2 linked regions of the Cricetulus griseus genome follow. The protein of the gene in region 2 interacts with the protein of the main gene of each other region in a biochemical or structural test. Links are inferred from orthologs where the notes say so. Each region holds a gene or a part of one and is shown on either strand. Other genes may lie near its edges.

Region 1 (10,355 bases), on a different chromosome or scaffold from region 2:
TGTAGAAACTCCACCTGCGAGGCGATTTTTTAAGTGAACAAAAAACCCCTTCAGTAATATGGGGAGCATTCCCATACATTTTGCTATATGAAATTCAGACTCAACTCTGGACAACCTCAGCTGTCCAGAGTGGAGACAGCCTCGTCACCCCGGCTTAGACTCGGACTCCTACCTAGAACACCCATGCCCCTTTTCTCCTATTTGAATGGAAGAAAGGTAACATTGCCCTGTTTTCTACTGCCAAAAAATATGGGTTTTCCTGAAAGACATCCTTTCTTTAGAATTTTTATTACATTTTAATTAATTTGTTGTTGGGAAGGCTTGTGGGATTGATTCTCTCCTTCTACCTGTGATAGAATTCAGATGGTGAAAGGCCAGATCAACCTGGAGCTCATCATCCTCCTGCCTCAGCTTCTAAGATGCCGGAACTGCAGGTACAAATTACCACACCCATCTTGTCTTTATTACCAATAGTGTTGGTAAAAAAGTTCTGCCTTGGTTAAACAAAAACAATGCTCCATGATAGTCTAGGTAGTTTTATGAATGTTAGTTATGTCTTCATAAAATCTTAAGCCAGTCAGGACAACAGATCCAGCCTTGCTGGATCTTACTGGGCTGTGTGTGTGTTTGGGGGTGGGGGTGGCATATCTTTGGTGGTCAGAACCGTAGCAGAGGGCCGGAATTATCCCAGAAGTGGATGGAGATGGAGGACGCTGCTCTCTATCCCAGAAACTGCCTATCCACTAACGTCCAAGCTTTCAGACTGGTATAACATACTCAGAAGGGACCATCCTAAGTGCCCCAAGTGGTGCTCAATTGGTGAACTCTTAGTCCATCAGGATGCGACCCCCTCCAGTCTCAGGGTAGGACTCAGGGTAGGATTCCGTGCCAACTGCTGGGAGTACAATTCAGAGTCAAGCAGGGGGACTAGGCACCCCACATTTAGGGAAGCCTGCCTCATGCTACACAGAGTCCTGACACGTACCCCGCAGGGCTATATCACACTCACAAAAGCGAGCTTCCTGGTCATGCTTGCCAGGCAAAGTCTCCATCATCCTGGGCTTGCCCTGCCCGAGACAGCTGCGGGGTACTCTGGTGTCCAGAGCTCAAGTGACCACAGGCCTCAGTTTCCCCACCCACTGCAAAGGTCTGACTCACTCGAGAATTCGCAAATACATTTAATAATTTGCAAAAGTGACGCTACCCCCCTTCCCGGCCTCAGTTTCCCCACCTGCAACAAGAGGACACAGATGCATTCAGGACCCATCAAGGGCGACCCGGGGCCTGTTTCCCCATCAGCTACTAGGCCCTCGTTATTTGGGCTACACGGAACCTTCGGGAGCCTGCAAAGCTGACCCTTCCCCCTCCCCGGGGCCTCAGTTTCCCCTTTGCGAGCCCTCGCGTCTCCGCATCTCAGCCCCCAAGCACCGGGCGCGGACCCGGTCCTTCGGGCCGCAGCTTCACCCACCTACGGCTGGCGGCGTCGCGGCGTCCGGCTCCTCTAGCATCGCGGCGGCGACCCCGCTACGCTCTCCGCCTCCCGCCGGTGGCGCTACTGCTGCCGCCGCGGCCGCCGCGCTCGTATTTGGCGGGAACCGCGGCAACCACCGCGGCCCGTGCGCCGATTGGACGGGAGCCCGTCACGTGACAGCCCTGCCTCAGGAAAAGAGGGGCGCTCGGCGCGTCCTCGCGAGAACTGCGGGTCATACGCCCAAAAATCCCGCGGGAGGTGGAAGGAGGAGGACTCCTTTCCGGCGGTTCTTGAGTGGCTACGGAGCGGCACGTTTCTACTGGTAGGATGCAATGTCAATCTAAGAGCCCTCCCTTTTATTGGCTATTCGTGGGAGGAAGTGGGGCGGTTACGTCACGATCCGCGCCAGTGACAACTTGAAATTACTGATTAGAGGAGGAATCTGAAGTGAGTTTATCCTAATTAGTGATTGGTTCAAAGTAGCTACAGCAATTAAAACTGGGGATCACTTCCTTTCATTGTTAATTCACAAGTACTTCCTGTTTTAACTATAAATTACTTAAAAAAAATATGAGTTACTTTTCTGAAATGATGAACCGCTTTTTTAAAAATTACGATTTGCTTTATTTATAAGTAGAATTTTTTTGTTGTAAGATTATAAATTACTTTCAAAGTCGTTAATTACCTTTTTAGTGTGAATTACTTTGAAGATATATTAATTTAAAAAAATTGTTCATTGAGTTTGGTGGTGGGAGCTTTAAACCCTAGTACTTGGGAGGCAGAGGCAGGCAGATCTCTGTGACTTTGAAGACATCCAGGCCAGGTCTGCATAGCCAGTTCCAGGCCAGCCAGCGATACAATGTATCAAAACATTATTAATTGCCTTCTTTTTTTTCTTTCCTTTTTTTGAGACAGGATCTCACAATGCAGCCGTGCTGGCCTGGTACCCACCAACCAGTTTCTAAAATGTTTCATCTGTTAGGTGGAGAAAGAAACCTTTCCCTCCTTCATCTGCAAACAGCTCAATGCCCACAACAGTTCTTTTCTTGAAGTTGTGGCTAGTAAGTGGGTTCTTAATAGAATAACTGTATGAATTGCTTTTTGGCCATAAACTCAGTGAAAGTGTCAAGGATCTCATCAAACCTTTGACTTGCTGCGGAAGTATAATCAGATTGCACTGTGCAGATCTTCTTGTACACCTGTCAACCCTGCACTTGGGAGAGGAAGGCAGGAAGATCCAGAATTAAAGGCCAAGGCAGGTTGAAGTTGACACCAGCTTGGGCTCCATGAGACTCCATCTCAAAACCCATATAAAATAAAGAACATCCTTGTATCAACCTGTGGTGGCTAGCATGCTAGGAATCTGGCTGCAGTCTCCAGTTACACACACACACACACACACACACACACACACACACGTTTTTGAAACCAGACTTGTCGTCATAAGCCTGTCATTGCAGGAGCAGGAAGGTGAGGCAAGAGGATCAGGAATTGAAGACCAGCTTGTGCTATGTGGGATCCTGTCTCAAACAAAACCTATTCGTAATCCACCATGTACAAAGGCTCCTATAGTCATGAGCAATAAGGATGACATTCACATGTTCTTTTCATCTACCACACTGCATTCTGTTGAGTCACTGGGAACCTTCCAGAAATCTTGGCTTCATGGAATCACTTGTCAGCAATTTCAACACCAGATTTTTAAAATTCTTTACCCTAAACATTTTCCTGTTCCTGCTTTAGGATCTATTTACTCATCACCCCCATTTTATTATTAATCTCCAAGTCATGCTAGAATGGTGTGGAACCGGTTATGTAGCCCAGGCTGGCCTCAACCTCAAAGATCCATCTATCTGCCCGGCTTCTCAAGTGCTGGGATTAAAGGTGTGCACTGCCACCTCTGGCATATTCTTTATGCTTTTTGAAATCCATAACACAGTTGATCTAAGGGTTAAGGTACCAGTGTCAGTCTGGGTCTCACCAAGGAGGTGGCATTCCAACACTCTTTCTTGCTTTTGCTTCAGTTGCTTTTGACCAAGCGTTTTTGCTTTCCTTTGGGTTTTGCTTTTGTTGTCAGAGCATTTAGTCACAGCTACGGGAAGAGAAATGAAGACGTCTACCTTCTAAACTGGAGACACCCTAGGTTGAGTGTTTTTATATTGTTTATCTTTTAAGTTATGGGTATACGTGTGATCCTGCAGACTTGGGCGCAGTTGACCGAGGAGGCCACGAGAGGGCGGATGGATCTGAAGCGAGCGGCCCGATGTGGGTGCGGCGGAACCAAACTCCCTCCCGGTCACCGCCACGCCAGCCAGCCATCCGTCCCTCTAACGCCTCGGAAATTTCATTTTACTTGGCTTTGTCTTGTTTTCATTTTATTCTCTATTTCATTTATTGTGTGTTCCAGCGGCCCGGCACAGCCGTGAGCTGTCAGGAATCTTTCCTTGGGGGCCCAGTGAGACGGCTGTGAGTAAAGTTCTTAAGCCGAGCTTGGATACGTGAGTTCGATCCCGGAGATTCGACTACCGCAGCCGTCCTCTGGCACGCACGCCGCGCCCCCTTCCCCACGCACGCACTAATTAACTAATGGACGCTGGCTTTGACTTTATGTCCTCCTCCTACTACTCCTCGGCTGTAGAGGGAGCTGCAGCTCTCCGGCCTCTCCGGGCGCCCCTCATCTCGTTGCTGTGGGCGGGTTTTTTCTCCCCTACCTTCCCGCTGCAATGCGCTCTCCGGCCTACAGGGGCGGCGCACGCGCACAGAAGCCGGACGCGCGCGCGCGGATGCCGCTGGGAGGGGCAGAGGCGAGGTGGGGGCGGCACCGGAAGTGTGTGGTTGCCATGTAATATCCCGGCCGCGCGTGCGCGCTAGCGGGCCGAGGTGTCTTCCCCGGCGGGCGCGTAGAGCTGGCGAGCTGCTTTGGCGGAGGCGGCGCCGAGTAGCGCGCGGAGGAAGGAGGTCGGTTCGGCGACGCCGGCGGAAACCTGAGTCCGGGCGGGAGGCCCGACGGCGGGAGGCGACATGTCGGTTGCGGGGCTGAAGAAGCAGTTCTACAAGGCGAGCCAGGTGAGGCGCGGCCGGGCGATCCGGGCTTGGGCCTGGCTCGCGGGACCGCGAAGGAGCCAGCTCCGGGAAGGGAAAACCGGGCCCCCGGGCTGCACAGGGGCACGGGATGTGCGTGTCTAACCGGCTTGCCACCGAGCCTCACGACCTGATTTCGGTCCCAGGGACCCAGGGTGGAAGGAGGGAACCCAGGTTTCCAGGCTGTGTGTATCCGTGACTCTTGCCACATAGCCTCAGGCCACAGAAAATGTGTGTCTGGGCTGTTTTCCCCCCCCCAAAAAAAATCTTGATAACATTTACGAAGTCCACACAGGACTTAGAAAAATAAGTGGCCCATCTCTTTTTCTTCTGTGTCTCCAAAATAGATTGCAAAAACAACCCCCCCCAAGACACTCGCCAGGAGGTACACATCTTTAGTACCAGCATTCTGGAGACAGAGACAAGCAAGCAGATCTCAAGAGTTTGAGGCCAGTCAGGATTATATAAGGAGACCCCGTTTCAAAAACGAAATAAAAAAGAAGAATCTCTTGGTAGACACTGTGCCAAGTTGAAAAGAGACAGTGAAAAGTAATTTTCCAAGCTTCTCCAGTTACAAAATGTCACAGACTTTGTGTCCCCATTTCCAAGTCCGTGTGTGTTTCTTTGAAAGATACATTGATATGGCTGTGCTGAACTGTAGATTCCTGGGTACTTGGTGGTTTGGGTTCACTGCTTCTTGGAGCATGAATCTGAACTGAAATTCTACATCCTGGCTGTGTGTGTTCTCCAGGGTGGGCATCCTGGGCTCTGTTGCATCCTTACATATTGAAAACCCCACCCCATGGCAGGAGCTCCATTCATCTTGAAAACAGATGTCTTCCGACATCCCATAATGTAACATCCCTCTGGAACTTTTTTTGTTTGTTTGTTTTTTTCGAGACAGGGTTTCTCTGTGGCTTTGGAGGCTGTCCTGGAACTAGCTCTTGTAGACCAGGCTGGTCTCAAATTCACAGAGATCCCCCCTGCCTCTGCCTCCTGAATGCTGGGATTAAAGGTGTGTACCACCACGGCCCGGCTCCTCTGGAACTTTTTTGTTTGCTTTTTCAGACAAGGTTATGCTTTGTAGTCCAGGCTGACCCAAAATTTCCTCCTTCCTCTGCCTCCTGGGTGCTGGGATGACAGGGTGCCACAGTTCAAACTTGCCTTCATGTATTGGAGGTCTTACATTGCCTTGAACTCCTTGGCACTGTGAGCCTGATTTCTCAGCCTTTGAGTGCTGGGACTCTGTCATATGTTCCCTTGAACAAGCTCTTGTGTTCTCTCTGTCCCAGTCTGAGGCTAGAGTGACCTCATATTCATTATCCCCGTCTCTGCATCCTTGTGCTGTTGCCACCAAGCCTCACTAGTGAGATTGTATTTGTAAGATAAATTTCCCAGAAGTGGTTTGCCAAGTTCATATCTGTGAGTTTTCCCTTGTCTGTTTTGAGTTTCTTTTCTTCTGTCTTCCCCTTCAGGTTTCTCTCTCTCTCCTTCCCTCCCTCCCTCCCTCCCTTCCTCTCCTCCCTCTCTCCTCTTCCTCCCTCCCCCCCCCCCCCCCGCGCGCGCGTGCGTGCGTGCGTGCATGCATGCATGTATGTATGTATGTATGTATGTATGTATGTATGTATGTATGTATGCATACACGCATTCATGCGTGCTAGGTTTGGAACCAAGGACCTTGCCCACAGTAGCAAATGTTCTACCTTGAGCTATGTCCGTATGAAACACTTGGTCGCTACTCCTGTCACCATAGAGGTCACCAGGGTCAAGGCTGGTGTGTCTTCAGTCTGTGCATCCCTTCTGGTGCTACTCTCAGCTCAGAGGCCTGTCCTCAGTCAAGGATGTTGGAGCAGCTACACTCCCCTTCTAGAACAGGGCCCAGGCTTGTTGGTTTAGTCTGTGGCCACACTATCTGATAGGCCGTGGCAGGATTTTAGCTGTAAGTTCAAGTTGAAGAACCTGTCTATATCTCAGAACAGCAGCAGGTGATCTGGGTGTGTAGCTTAGTTGGTAGAAGGCTTGTCTACCACGCAGGAAGCCCTGGGTTTGTTGCGAATTGAGTTCCAGGGGTATGTAGTAAAACACTCAGAGGCATGCAACCCATGGATCTGTGCAGGGAGCCCTGTGAACCTAGAGTTTGTTGCCTGGTTTCTGCTCCAAGAAGCCCCAGATGTGCTAATCCTGTGGTTATGCAGTGCAGGCTGAGAATCCTGGGTGTGGAGCTGGCTCGAGTAGATTCCACAGAGAGATGAGCAACAGTGTGAGGAATTGCTTGGGCTGTGCCTGCAAGAAGGGCTCTCCCCATGGTCCAGAGAGGCCCAGCCAGAGGGAGCAGGCATCTGGTGCTTGCTGTCACTCCAGGGGCCAAAAGGAATGGCCCTAGCTTGCCTAAGGATAAAGACATCTGGGCTCTATGTGTGGACCTTGGAGGGAGGCTAGCACATGTGTGTGTGTGTGTGGGGGGGGGTAGAGATGAAAGAAGAAAGTGCAGGAATGTTGAGTATGGCAGTGCACACCCCCAGCTGGGGTTGAGTGGGTTGCACCCATGCAGGAAGTACTGTAGGCAAGCTCTGGGGGTGCTGCCAGCCTGGGCCTGAGACTACCCTCCTGTTTGAATCCCTGTGCTCTCTAGAGGCTCCTCCCCCACTGATTCCCAGCAGGCACTTCGGGAAGGACCCAGAGGGGCAGCCACCAGACTTTGCCTCTTGGAGGGCCACCATCCAACCTGCCTATAAACCTGGAAAGTCCCACTCAACTCAGGTCAGTTTACTGTTTGACATTTAGGGCCCTGTCCCAAAGAATGACTGCTGTGCCCAGGAGTCTGAGCCAGCTCTAAAGAGCTACAAACAGATGGCCCTCAGCCCAGCCTCCTGCAGGAGTTTCCTCAGTTCCTCAACATCCTACTCTTACAGCTGGGTCCCGCTTGTGTGTCTCTTTTCTCTATTAAGTAACACCTCCCTGGTTGTCTCCTGAGTCCCCAGAAAATTCTTTCTTGCCAGAAAGAGAAGCCATAAGCCAGGTGTGATAGGGCATGCCTATAATCCCTGTAGGTTCCAGGCCAGTCTGGGCTACATAGTGAGAGCCAGCAGGAGAGAAGCTGGGGCTCAGTGGGTAGAACATTCACCCAGTTTATAAGGAAGCTCTGGGATCTGCCCCCAACTCCACATAACCCCTGTGTAGGAGCTCACACTTGTCATCTGGAGTTGGAGGCAGGAGGATCAAGGAGTTCAGCTGCATAGTATGTTTGAAGCCAGCTTGGACTACATGAGACCCTATCTCAAAGAAGATAAAAGAATCCTCAGCCCACATTGTCTCAAATCAGAAATGACTGGTTATGGAAAGATGTTCAGGGGTGCTGAGGCAAGGTATGGATGGAGCTGGAAGCCAGGATGGGCAACTGGACTGTGGCTCCGGTTCCACTGGTTTGAGCTTCACAGGTCCCCAGCTCATCACCCAGCCAAGCCTGCAGGTACATGTAAATGTGTAAAATGAGCTTGGGTGTTGAAGGAAGTTGGGGGTTTCACTTCCTATGGGGAAGTGGAGAGATGGTGGCTCTGCTCTTAGCTGTGATCCCCACCGTCTCCTCACCCTGGTGTGTGTGGAGGACTGAGGGTTCTGAGGAAGTCAGGGTATCAGATAGAAGTGGCCTGTGGCTCAGAAGTTTGTTTGGTGTCTTCACTGTTAGCCTGAGCTGGCTGGTTTCCTGGTCATTCTGTGATGGCCTGGAGATGGAATGTAACTAAGGATGCTGCTCCTGGCATGGAATGCAGACCTCACCCCACCCCCCACCACCCCAACCCCCCCCCCACAACCTCTTTTTTGCCTGAGAGAAAGGGAGGTTTGAAAAGAAAGATTGGTTGATCTGACCTTGGAAGAAAATTGCCAACTGTTTGACTGGAGTGCCAGGCAAGTGCTTGGTGGGCCCTGCCCCCTACACACACACACACACACACACACACACACACACACACACACACACACACACGCAGACTTGGGACTCTGTGGGTTTGGGGATGTAACTATTGTCTGCCTGTCTGTCGTCTGTCTGTCTGTTCCCTCCCTCCCTTCCTCCTTCTCCCACTCCTCTCTCACACATTCTGTAGAGGGAGGTAGAACCCAAGGCCTGTAGATGACACCCCAGCCCTGGCTATGACTTCCTCCACATGAGGCCACGTTGATTGTGTGAGCTGAAAGTCCACCTGAGTCAGAGCCCTGGGCTCTCAATGCAGCACCCCAGCTAATCGTTTACCATGGTGTGCTAGGCCAGACCATGGAGCAGCTCCATCTCTGGACATTACAGCAGGCCACTGTGACAGGAAAATGGGGACTGTCACATCTGGTTTATAAGCCCCATCACCATCATTCCTTTAGGGACATGGTGTCTGAGTGTTCCATGTCCCACCTCACTTGTTAGTACCCATTCCCTTCTCCCTGTTCTTCAGCCTGGGCCCTTCCAGAGAGGCAGGCCCCTGCTACGTGTGAGTGCCTGCAGAGCATGTACATGTATCTGTGTGTGTGCATATATGTCCATTCCCCTCCACCAAGCACAGCCTTTGATCGGGAGACCCAGGAAACAGCTGTACCCTCTCTGCCCCTCCACAACTCATTTCCCTTGTAGGATTTGAGATGCCACAGCAGGCAGCTGTGGGGGGAGTGGAACCAGGCCCAGGTTTGGCTCTCTGCTTGGCACCCCATGCTCCAACCCAGGGCTTGCTTGCTTGCTTATTTATTTATTTATTTATTTATTTATTTATTGTGGGGAAGGATCAACCTCAGGTGTTATTCCTGCTGTACAATCTACCACTGGGACCTGGGACTCACCACTAAGACTAGCCTGGCTAGCCAAGAGTCCCCATGTCCAGCAGCAGTGAAATTGCCTGTCTCCACCACACCCATGTTTTCATGTGCGAGCTGAGATTCCATGTGGCAGGCACTGTACCAACTGAGCCGTCTCATTCCCTATTTACTTACTTTTATTCTTCTGAATTTTTGTTTGTTTGTGGGATGGGGGTCTCATTCAAACCCCATGCTGGGATCATGGGTGTGTAGCTATATAATGGCTGAATCTCTGCTGTCTCGTTCTCTCTTAAGCGCTCCTTGGAAAGCTAGAAAGAAAACTTCATTTTCTGGCAGCTGCTCCGCTCGGCCTCCCCCTGCCAGGGGCCACCCCTGCTGCCTGGGTGGGCGCCCCTCTGCTCCCTCTTCCTGCCCTTTGCAGGTCCACAGGATGCCTCATCTTCCTTTTCCGCTCAGCTCCTAGAAAACCTGCTGATTTGAGCCCCTGGGGGTCACGGGACACTTCCCAAGCACTTCGGGAACACAGCTGTGGCTTCCTCCCAGTCCCTGACTCAGCACCTGCTGGCTGACCTCTCTAGAGAACTCCCATAAGTGGGTTCCTTCCCTTCTGGGTGATCCTCAGTGTTAGCCCCCAGGATATACGGAGGGTGGATAACCCCTGAGAACTAGCATGTTTGCTTAGCATTTCAGGGTGACACAGATGACAGGTGCCCTGCTGCCTTGTCCTGGGTCACCAAGTCTATGATGGGGACTGTGCCCAGAACTATGTGTAGCAGCTCAAAGGCAAAAAAAAAGAGAGAGAAAGCAGACTGACCCAGGACTTCTGGGGTACAGGCTGTGTTGTCCCCTAGCATTGGGGACCTCCCAGATATTTGCCAGAGTTTCAGGGTCACACTGGCGATGGGTATCCCACATACCAGCAGCACTGGTGACCAGTGTCCCACATACCACCAGACCAGTCTGTACAGCTCTGCCCATGCCCCGCCCAAGCAGTGCTGTGCTTGCC
Region 2 (9,665 bases):
CATAGTCTTACACCCCATTCACAATTGCTACAAACACACACATTGACAAACATGAACATATTATTACCACATGGTCCAATGCATTCATGCAGCTATGTCCTATAGACACAAGTGCACACAATGGTGACAGACTCGCTTGGCCTTGCAACAACCACACAACCACACACATGTGCTCACAGACATGCAATTTCCAGGCTTGTGCTGTGTGTCTGATTGGTAACACATGGATGGCTGGAGGGGGGAGTGGGCTGAGCCTCTAGGGCTAGTGCAGTCCCCCCTCCCATCTCCATAGTCAGGAAATGAAGTCAGAGTCCACTAGGCTGGAGGCAACTGAGCCGCCACTGAGCCATCCCAGCCTGAGGCCCAGCCTGGCCTGTCTCCTGAACTTGCTAAGGGTGAGATGAGGGAGACCCTCTTAGTCTCAATGCCTTCGCCAGCCCCTTATGACATATATACAGGGCTACTAGGGTTGGCTTGAAAGCCATGGGGTCAGGGCTCCACGGCCAGCATTTACTGTACAGCTCCATGTGTGCTGGCAAGGACTAGAGCCCGAGACTACCTTGAGTGTTCACAATCCCAGGTGCTCGCCCTCATGGAACACTCTAAGGGATGGAGGCATGGCAGTGCCAGACTGACACCTCATTCCTACCCCTCCCAACAGGAGAAAGAGAAGAAGTACATGCTGTCTGTGGACAATCTGAAGCTTCGTGATGTGGAGAAGGGTTTCATGTCAAGCAAGCATATTTTTGCCCTCTTCAACACAGAGCAGAGGTGCCTGCTTGCCCCTGGCTGAGCTGCTGAGACCCCAGACCCTGCAAGCCCCAAACCATGCTGCTGTGTAGAAAATGGGTGCACAAATCCAGGGGCCTGCCCTCAGACAGCTACTCAGTTTCTCCTCAGTGCCAGGTCCATGTTTAGCGTCCTCCTCCCCTTACCCTTTTCTCCTCCCCCTCTGCTTCCTCATCCCCTCCCTCCTTTTTCACAGCCACTTAACTTACCTAGTGTCTGCTTGGCACAGAACAAAAGGTCTAAAGCCCTAGTCTCCTCTGGGATGGGCTCGGGACTAGACATCACTTCTCCAGTTCCAGGCTGGCTCTGATAGGTGCTCTTTCTTACTCAGAGATAAGAATCCCGAGCAGATGCCATCTGGAAGTCTCCAAAAAGCCAGGGAGGGTGCTGAAGGGGCCTGAGGCCCAAGCCAGGGCTGCCCTGCCTGGCTCTGCAGCCTTCCTTTTGTTTTGAGACAGGGTCTTAGTCTCATTTAAGTAGTCCAGGATGGTCTCAAACTGAAGATTGTCCTGCCTCAGCCTCTTGAGAACAGGCTTTGTCCCCCAGCTGAGAACCGTATTCAGGGCCTTATGCTTGCCAGGAAAGTGTTCTACCACTGAGCTAAATCCCCAACCCCTCAAGTAAGGGCATTAGGGTGTGCCACCATGCCTGACTTCAGTCCCTTTCTTTACATTGGGCTACTTTCCCTTTGAAGCATCCCAATGGCCACAGCAGACAGGAATCATTCCCAACCTACTTCCAAAATGAGAACACTGAGGCTTGAAGAGAGGAGGGACCTTGCCTAAGGTCAACAAGAAAGCCAGGGATGGATAGTAGGCATGAGGACCCTAAAGCCCACACATGTCACTATCCCCTGAACAGGGTGGGGCTTTTCCTCATCCCCCTCCCGCCTACCCCACCCTGCAGGAATGTCTACAAAGATTACCGGCAGCTGGAACTGGCCTGTGAGACACAGGAGGAGGTGGACAGCTGGAAGGCTTCCTTCCTGAGGGCTGGCGTATACCCTGAGCGCGTTGGGGTGAGTGGTGGTGGAGCGAGGGGAGGAGGGGCCAGCTGCTTGTACCCGGGGTTCCAGGGTACCAGGCTTTGAGAAGTTCTGAGTCCTTATTTGAGGCAAAGAGCAAGCTACCTGCATGGGTTTGGAACAAAGTCCTCTGGCTTCCCCATTTTCCTCCAGCGGATGCCAGAGAGCATCTCCTGAACTTTCATACACTGGTGGCTTCAAGTTGCCTTGTCCCATTTCCCTGTTACTGCAGCAGCGTCTACATGTACCAGGGTTTGGGTACATTGCACTAGGTTCATGTGATCCCTCCCTTTTTCTCTCTTTGTCTATTTCAAATGTGCTCCCTGGTGTTGGTGGCAATGCTGATATGGCTTCTGTGGCTCTGATGTGGGCCTCCAGGACAAGGAGAAGGTAAGTGTGTCCTCCCCCTGCTTCCTGCCAGGGTCCTCGAGCCTGGCACCAACTCTAGCCAAGTGAAGGAACTTGGAGATGATCTTTTCCAATGTATGGACTGAGAAATGGGGACGGATTCTAGACACTAGGGTCAGAGTCAAGTCAAAGCTGAACGTGGGGTGTCTGGGTCCTGAGAGGCACAGTGGTGAGCCTAGAGTCCCAGATGTGTTCTCAGTGCCTCTGTGTGGTAGATATCCTTGCAGGAGCTGAGGTCTTAGTGATATCGGGAGTCTGATTGCACGGGCCCTGCCATTCTGATACCCTGTGTTCCCAATGGCAGGCCAGTGAGACCGAGGAGAATGGCTCTGATAGCTTCATGCACTCCATGGACCCTCAGCTGGAGCGGCAGGTGGAGACCATTCGGAACCTGGTAGACTCGTACATGGCCATTGTCAACAAGACTGTGCGGGATCTCATGCCTAAGACCATCATGCACCTCATGATCAACAATGTATGTCCACAGCTGGGGTGGGGGAGGGAGCGGTGCAGGGTAGTTGTGTGGGACCAAGCAGCCAGCGGGCTTATCTTTCCTTTTGTATTATTTATATATATGCACAGGGCAGGGGAACTCAAACTCATGCCATTTGTTTTTGTGTAGGTAATGGGACAACTTGAGGGAGTTGGTTCTCTCCTTTCACCATGAGGGTCTCAAGGATTGAACTCGGGTCATCAGGCTTTGCACTAAACTATCCCATAATCCTCAAACCCTTATTTATTTACCTATTTTCAAGACAAGCACTCACTATGTAGCTCTGGCTGGCCTTGAGCTCACAGAGATCTGCCTACCTTTGCCACCCAAGAGCTGGGATTAAAAGTTTGGACACTATACCTGGTTCCAAAATCCTTAATTTTAATAGCCCATGATATCCAAAATACTATTGTTTTGACTTTTGAGCTAGGGTCTTGTTGTGGAGCTCAGGCTGACTTCAAACTTGTGGGTGACCTCTACCTGGCTCTCTCCATCTCCTGAGTGCTGAGGTGGCAGGCATGTCCCACAATAACTGGCTCCAATCTAAAAATACATTAGTTATACATTGCACACTGTTTTCCCATTAAGCTTTTGTAAACCCACTCCAGATGTTACACATCTGGTGGAAATGTCATCTTAATTTGAATTCCAGGAAACTTGCAGTTGAAAAATAGATACACATACCCAGATTGTCCCAAACATGCATGTTCTTCAGGAACAGCCAATAGTCTCCATTTTTTGAAATGAAACACAGCTCTCAGAGCCACCACAGACTGTGGCTTAGTGAAAAAGCAGGGCCCCAGGACAGCAGAAGTGGGTTGTGATGAACCTCCATCTCTGACTCTATTTCCTAATGTATAAACCATGGATGGTAATAATAGAGCTGAGAACAGCATTGCTTATGAAGTGTGGAGCAGCACAGAGCCTGGCTCATGGAGGGGGGGTGTTCGTAGATTGTTGGGTGAGGAGGCAGTGAGATTGGAGCAGGCTACAATGTGTCAACAAGTCACAATACTGCCCCACACTGGGGCAATCTTTTTTTGTTTGTTTTGTTTTGTTTTTTTGAGACAGGGATTCTCTGCATAGTCCTGGCTGTCCTGATGCTCACTTTGTAGACCAGGCTGGCCTTGAACTCACAGAGATCCTCCTGCCTCTGCCTCCAAAGTTCTGTGATTAAAGATGTGCAGCACCACCGCGCAGCACTGCCTGGGGATTTTAAATGGGAATTAAACCTCCACTACACACACTGATACTTCTCACTCAATCCAAGGACACATTATAATTATGTTTATTTCTTTCTTAGGGACTCAGGACATTTTAAACTATCTCCTTCCTTATTTGGGTCTTGGGAAAGGCTCATAAACTTAGTAGGCAGTTGTCCTAGTGGCATGCTAGGTTTCTGAGTCTCATCCCAGATCACAGACAGAGGGCAAGTGACTTCCCTCTCTGGCTATGTCTGAGAAAAGGACATTAGATGGGGTTTGGAGAGACCTACGGGTTTGGGCACCAAGCAGAAGTAGGCATCTGAAATGCCAAACTCCAGCTCCCAGTTCTACACCTAATCCCAGAAGGTCTGGCCAGCGACAGGGTGGCATGGTCATCAGGTTCCTTCCGTCTCTGCTCTCTCACAGACCAAGGAGTTTATCTTCTCCGAGCTGCTGGCCAACCTGTACTCTTGCGGGGACCAGAACACACTGATGGAGGAATCGGCCGAGCAAGCTCAGCGGCGCGATGAGATGCTGCGCATGTACCACGCACTGAAGGAGGCGCTCAGCATTATCGGCGACATCAACACGACCACCGTCAGCACGCCCATGCCCCCGCCCGTGGACGACTCCTGGCTGCAGGTGCAGAGCGTACCGGCCGGACGCAGGTACCAGGGCCGGCCCCCACGGCCCCAAAGCCCCCCAGCCCGGGGCCCGCGGGAGGAGGGCCGGGACCGGGCAGTGGCGCGCCCGGGTCTCGGGGGCTCCCACCTGGAGCGAGGGGCGGAGCTTAGAAGAGGGCGGGCTTGTCGCGGGGCGGGGCTTGCCGTGAGCGCTGGCTGCAGGACGGGTGGCGCCGCTGGGGGGACGAGGCTTCGGCTCCGATGCTGCCCGCGGCCGCGGTGGGCGGGGCTTGCTGCATGGGCGGGGACAGCCTGGGCTGGGGGCGGGATCCCTGTTGGGGGCGGAGCCGCTCATATCTGCTCCTCTCTTCTGCCCTTGTCGCCCGACCGTAGATCGCCCACGTCCAGCCCCACGCCGCAGCGCCGAGCCCCCGCCGTGCCCCCAGCCCGGCCCGGGTCGCGGGGCCCTGCTCCTGGGCCTCCGCCTGCTGGATCCGCCCTGGGGGGGGCGCCCCCCGTGCCCTCCAGGCCGGGGGCTTCCCCTGATCCCTTCGGCCCCCCTCCCCAGGTGCCCTCGCGCCCCAACCGCGCCCCACCTGGGGTCCCCAGGTGAGTAGGGGCTGAAAGCGGCGGCGGGAAAGGCCTCCAGGCGGGCGTGACTGGGAGGGAGGTGGAGTCGGATTCTAGATCCTTGGCCTAGCGGTGGAAGCGACCCTCTCCATCCCAGGCGCTGGGGTTGGTGGTGCAAGGCCAAGAGACCGGCGGCCGCAACGGGCTGACGGCCCTGCCCTGCAGGGGGCGCTGAGTCCCGGAGGTGGTCGTTTCTGAGGAGGGGGCTCTGGAACTTATACCACTCGCCCCCTCCTTTTCAGCACTTGCATGGCGCTTCCTTTTTTCATTTTCTCTTCATTCTTCCCACATTTTGCATTTCTAACCCTTGCCCTCCATTCTCCTCCATTCCATCCTCCACTCACCCGCCCAGCTCCTCACGTCTAGGGCTCTGACCCCAGATCCTCCTTTTGAGCCGTGTGGATTTCTTCAGTTGCATTCAGAACTGCCTTGATGCCCCATTTCCAGCCCTGACTCTTTTAAGCTGTCCCAGAATGATGTCCAGCCTCTGGCCCACAGCATCAGGCCAGGCTGTGATTGTATGACTAGCAAGATGTGTGATGTGTGTGGGCGTGCACACGGGTGAGAATGTGAGAGTGGCACCCAGGCATGGAGTAGGATAGGAAGCAGCCGAGGAAGGAATCTGGGAATCGTGGACAATCTGGTGGTCTGGAACCAGATGGTGGATGTGGGCCAGGGACAGGAACTGAAGACTGCCCTCCTGCCAGAGATCTCTCGGGAAAAGAAACACACTTCATCCCTTGGCTTTGCCTTCTTGATCCATGACTGGCTTTCCAGGAAGTTCACTCTAATAGCTTACTCAGTCTGCCCAGTTTCCACAGACTATGGTCTTTGAGAAAGAACACAGTATCAGACAGACCAATAGCATCCGTTTGGTCTAAATGACTGAAGGGCAGAGCTGGGGGTCTAAAACGCATACACCAAATGAGGCATGGATGGGCCTGCTCTATGGGGCTCCAATGACGAAACAGCAGGGTAAAGGCAGGAGCATATCCTGGGACTGGGAGTCCAGAGATGCTGGTCCACTTCCCTTTAGCAAGTCATCTTCCCTCCTAGGGCTTCAGTTTCCCTTCTCCTTTTCCAAGGTAGTGTCAGATGGGGGGGAGGGCTGCTATATTGATTGTAAATGTGGCTGGCTGTAGGGTGGGGCAGGTTGGAGAAAGATTTGTGGAGACTTAACGCTGTGCAAAATCATGGAAGGTTATTATTGGGCAGAGCTGACACCTGGGTCCTAGAATGCAAGCCCTTATCCCTTACGGAGCAGTGTGGTAACCCTGTCAGCACACCAGGCCTGAGTGTGCAGGGAGCTGGTGCAAAGGTCTTCTGTGTGCAAGCGAGCTTCTGTGTTGTGACAGCTCATGCGTGTGCTTCAGTATGCTGAGTGGCTGCATGTCCCAGATCCGTGCTGCACGTATTGGCCGGCAATGGTGCTGGGCACTGGGAGGTGGGAGGGGAGATGTATGCGTGTTTGTGGGCATGTGTGTTAGCGTGTGCATGCAGGGCCTTGAGGCCTCACAGCATGTGTGTGCACGCCCAGGCGTGTGCGTGCGTGTGTCCCCTAACCCCACGCCTGGCCCACCTGTGTGTTTGTGAACTGCCCTGTTGATTTCGTGCTGTCTTTCAGAATCACTATCAGTGACCCCTGAGGAGTATCAGCTACGGTAGGTTATGCTCTCAGCCTGCTGCATGAAGTGTGTCTGCCCCCTCCCTCCTCGATGCACCAGCTCCATGCTGAGGACAACCTTGGGGCCTCTGAGCCAGGCCCCTCCCCCTTCTGCAGCTCTAGACTCCTCCTTCCTGTCCTCTGCCAGCTGGCTCTTTCTCTTCCCAGTGAGCCCCGGGACTCAGCGCCACTACTCAAGGCCTTCTTGACTAAATGAGGGCTCTTGGGACAGGTTCTGCGCCCATGTTGGTAGAAGTGGGTACTCCCTGGAGCTGTCAGACATTGTTGACAGTGTAGGGACTGAGGGCTTAGGATGTGTGTGGCTAGCTTCTGAAGGGGTTAGAGGCCTTAGGACTTCATCTTCATACCTAGTCTAAATTGTGCTGCCAAGAGAGATTCCAGCTCCCAACCTGACATTAGCTCAGCCAGGGCTCTGATTGGTTGATTAGTTCAGAAGACTTAAAAAGACCTTTGCCATTCTGTCAGCCCATAACAGCTCACAAGCAAGGCAAGGGCAGGTAACTCCCTTTCCCCTTCCTCCTTGATATTACACATCTGCAATTAATGGCCATGTCCTCAGCCCCAGATATAGAGTCAGCCCATTAGCTCTTACACTTGGCCTCTTCTGGGAGTGACCTGTACCTTTTAGCTAACCACACTGCAGTGTCAAATGACTTGGCAAATCAGCTTGAGTCCTGCCTGGCTGGCCACAGGATCTCTCTGTGATCTGTCCCAGCTCTTCTGCAGCCATTGACGCTCACCTTCTGCTTTTCCCCAGCAGGAAGGGCCCAGCCTCACCTACGAGACCTGCAGCCCCCCGGCCAGCGGAGGTTCCCCTCTTAGACTTATAAGTCTGTGGCCACAGGCATTGCCTCCCAGCCTCCTCAGGATCCCCTCAGTGGACTCCTGGGCTTTTTGACCACCTGAGGGGCCTTCAGTGCTCCCTCCAATCATCCCCTTTAGCTTTGCTCTCCTGGTTCAAGCACTTCTAGCCTCATGGCTGTTACATGGGACTCCCTGAGGCTTGCGGTGGCCCTGGGCCAGTGGGATGGGAGAAAGAGTGACCAGAGAAGAGGGAGGCCCTATGGGCACATTGCCTGGGTGGTGTGTGAGAGGCCGTGTGTGTGGCAAGAGAGGGCCACCCAGCCTCCACCCAGACTACCTGCTAGTTATGACCCAGCCCCGCCCATCTTCCCTTTTTCATTCATCAACTGTCTGCCTCTTTTCCGGGAACCTTGCCCACATCCACACCTGCCTCATCCCCTCTGCCTCTGCTGGGGGTGGCTGCTCTTGCCTTACCAGCTCTCCTTCCTTTTCTCTCTCCGGTTCTCTCTCTGGCTTTCTCTCCAACTGCCAGCCGATCGGGTCAGGCAAGTCCGTCCCGTCCTGAGAGCCCCAGGCCCCCCTTCGACCTCTAACCAGATCCCTCCTACTCCTCGGAGACCTCCCTTACCAAGCCTGCCTGGACAGCTGTTCTGTGACTTCACAGTGGCTCCCCCAGCCCCAAAGCGTGTCCCCTTCATCTGTGACTTAGTCTGTTGTAGTGGTGAGCTGACACATCCAGATGTAATGTTGGTGAAAACTTGTGCCCCTCTGTGGTATTGCTCCTGCGACATTCTATAAATATCTATAAATATACCTATATGTATATACATATATATGGCTGACACAGCCTAACCTGTAGTATCAGAATCAACCATCATGCTGTCCTTGTGGAGTCTTGTGGTCCAACTATAAGTGAACGCTGTCACCCTGACAACCCCCCTCCAATGTGCCACCTTTAGTGAGTTTCCCTGTCCTCTTGGCCTGTGGGCAGCCATCCCCTGGGCCATCCCTATCCTGCAGCATGGGGATGCTGCACTGGCAGCTGTGTGGTTCTGACAGCCACCAATCTTGCTGTCTCTTGGCTGAGAATAAAACCCATTTCTGGATGACGGGGAATTGTGTGTCCCTCTGCTGGTTCCTATTCACTGGGGAGAGGGGAAGGTGTAAACACTGGGCGCTGAACACAGGGTGAGGAAGAGCCCTTTGCTAGGGTGCTATAAGGTGAATTTATCAGGGCCTCATCTTATGAACTGCTTCCACTCTTAGGGGGCAGGACCATGAACTCAGTCAGGTCCTGTGAGCTGAGGGGGCCTGCAGCCTGAAGGAGAACAAAACAGGCCCAATGTATGGATAGGCTAGGGGAAAGGGGCGACAGAATGGAAAAGGCTTGGCTTGGAAGTCAGCACCCTTAGGTATTCCACCTACATATAGGTCAGGCTTGACTGTGTAGCCCCATGGCACTCCTTCTGGGATCCCTCGGCTTCAGTATGCAGTATACAGATGATGGGTGCCAATCAGCCCTGCTAGGCACTTCAGACCTTGGGCTCCACACAGACCTGCTTTCTGCTGGCAGGACATATTCCCTGCTCAGTGCCAACCTGAGGCTAACCCCAGAATCCAGTGACAGAAACATCCTAGGCCCAGAAGTATGGCTAAATCCATTTATTTCCCAAGTAAAAAGCAAAATAAAGAGGAGCTGCATCAGCAGGATGCTACAACCCCATCTCCGCCTCCTGTCCTCTGTCCTACACTACCAATAAATAAGTTTCCCAGCCCCAAGTGATTATTAGAATCTCCTCCCCACTTGCCAGCTCCAACCTCTACTATAATACAGAGGGTGTCCCTACCCCAGAATATACAAAATGGTACACAGGTACAATATGTACACCAGGAGAGGGGAAACCCCCCCCCCCAAGAGCCTCTATCCTGCTTGGCATACAGTTACCCCAATTGTCATAAGGCCTGAGAGAATAGTACCCAATTTCCCTGTCCCAAAGTGCCTCTA

Evidence for each region.
Region 1: the proteins of Dnm1 (region 2) and Sh3gl1 form a complex in vitro, tested with the Homo sapiens proteins (2 studies listed by BioGRID and IntAct, with this or other methods). The link is inferred for Cricetulus griseus from reciprocal best matches to the Homo sapiens genes DNM1 and SH3GL1.

What each region holds. Positions count from the first base shown.
Region 1 is NC_048598.1:97,509,125-97,519,479, forward strand, and holds the start of Sh3gl1 (endophilin-A2), read left to right. Parts: upstream 1-4,321; 5' UTR 4,322-4,492; coding exon 4,493-4,537; intron 4,538-10,355. Other genes in the region: Chaf1a (chromatin assembly factor 1 subunit A), read right to left, coding at 1,469-1,508. UniProt on the Homo sapiens protein: Implicated in endocytosis. May recruit other proteins to membranes with high curvature.
Region 2 is NC_048599.1:144,042,487-144,052,151, reverse strand, and holds the end of Dnm1 (dynamin-1), read left to right. Parts: intron 1-661; coding exon 662-771; intron 772-1,695; coding exon 1,696-1,807; intron 1,808-2,191; coding exon 2,192-2,203; intron 2,204-2,525; coding exon 2,526-2,696; intron 2,697-4,345; coding exon 4,346-4,587; intron 4,588-4,935; coding exon 4,936-5,151; intron 5,152-6,433; coding exon of another isoform or gene 6,434-6,435; intron 6,436-6,796; coding exon of another isoform or gene 6,797-6,818; exon of another isoform or gene 6,819-6,833; intron 6,834-7,613; coding exon 7,614-7,686; 3' UTR 7,687-8,776; downstream 8,777-9,665. UniProt on the Homo sapiens protein: Catalyzes the hydrolysis of GTP and utilizes this energy to mediate vesicle scission and participates in many forms of endocytosis, such as clathrin-mediated endocytosis or synaptic vesicle endocytosis as well as rapid endocytosis (RE).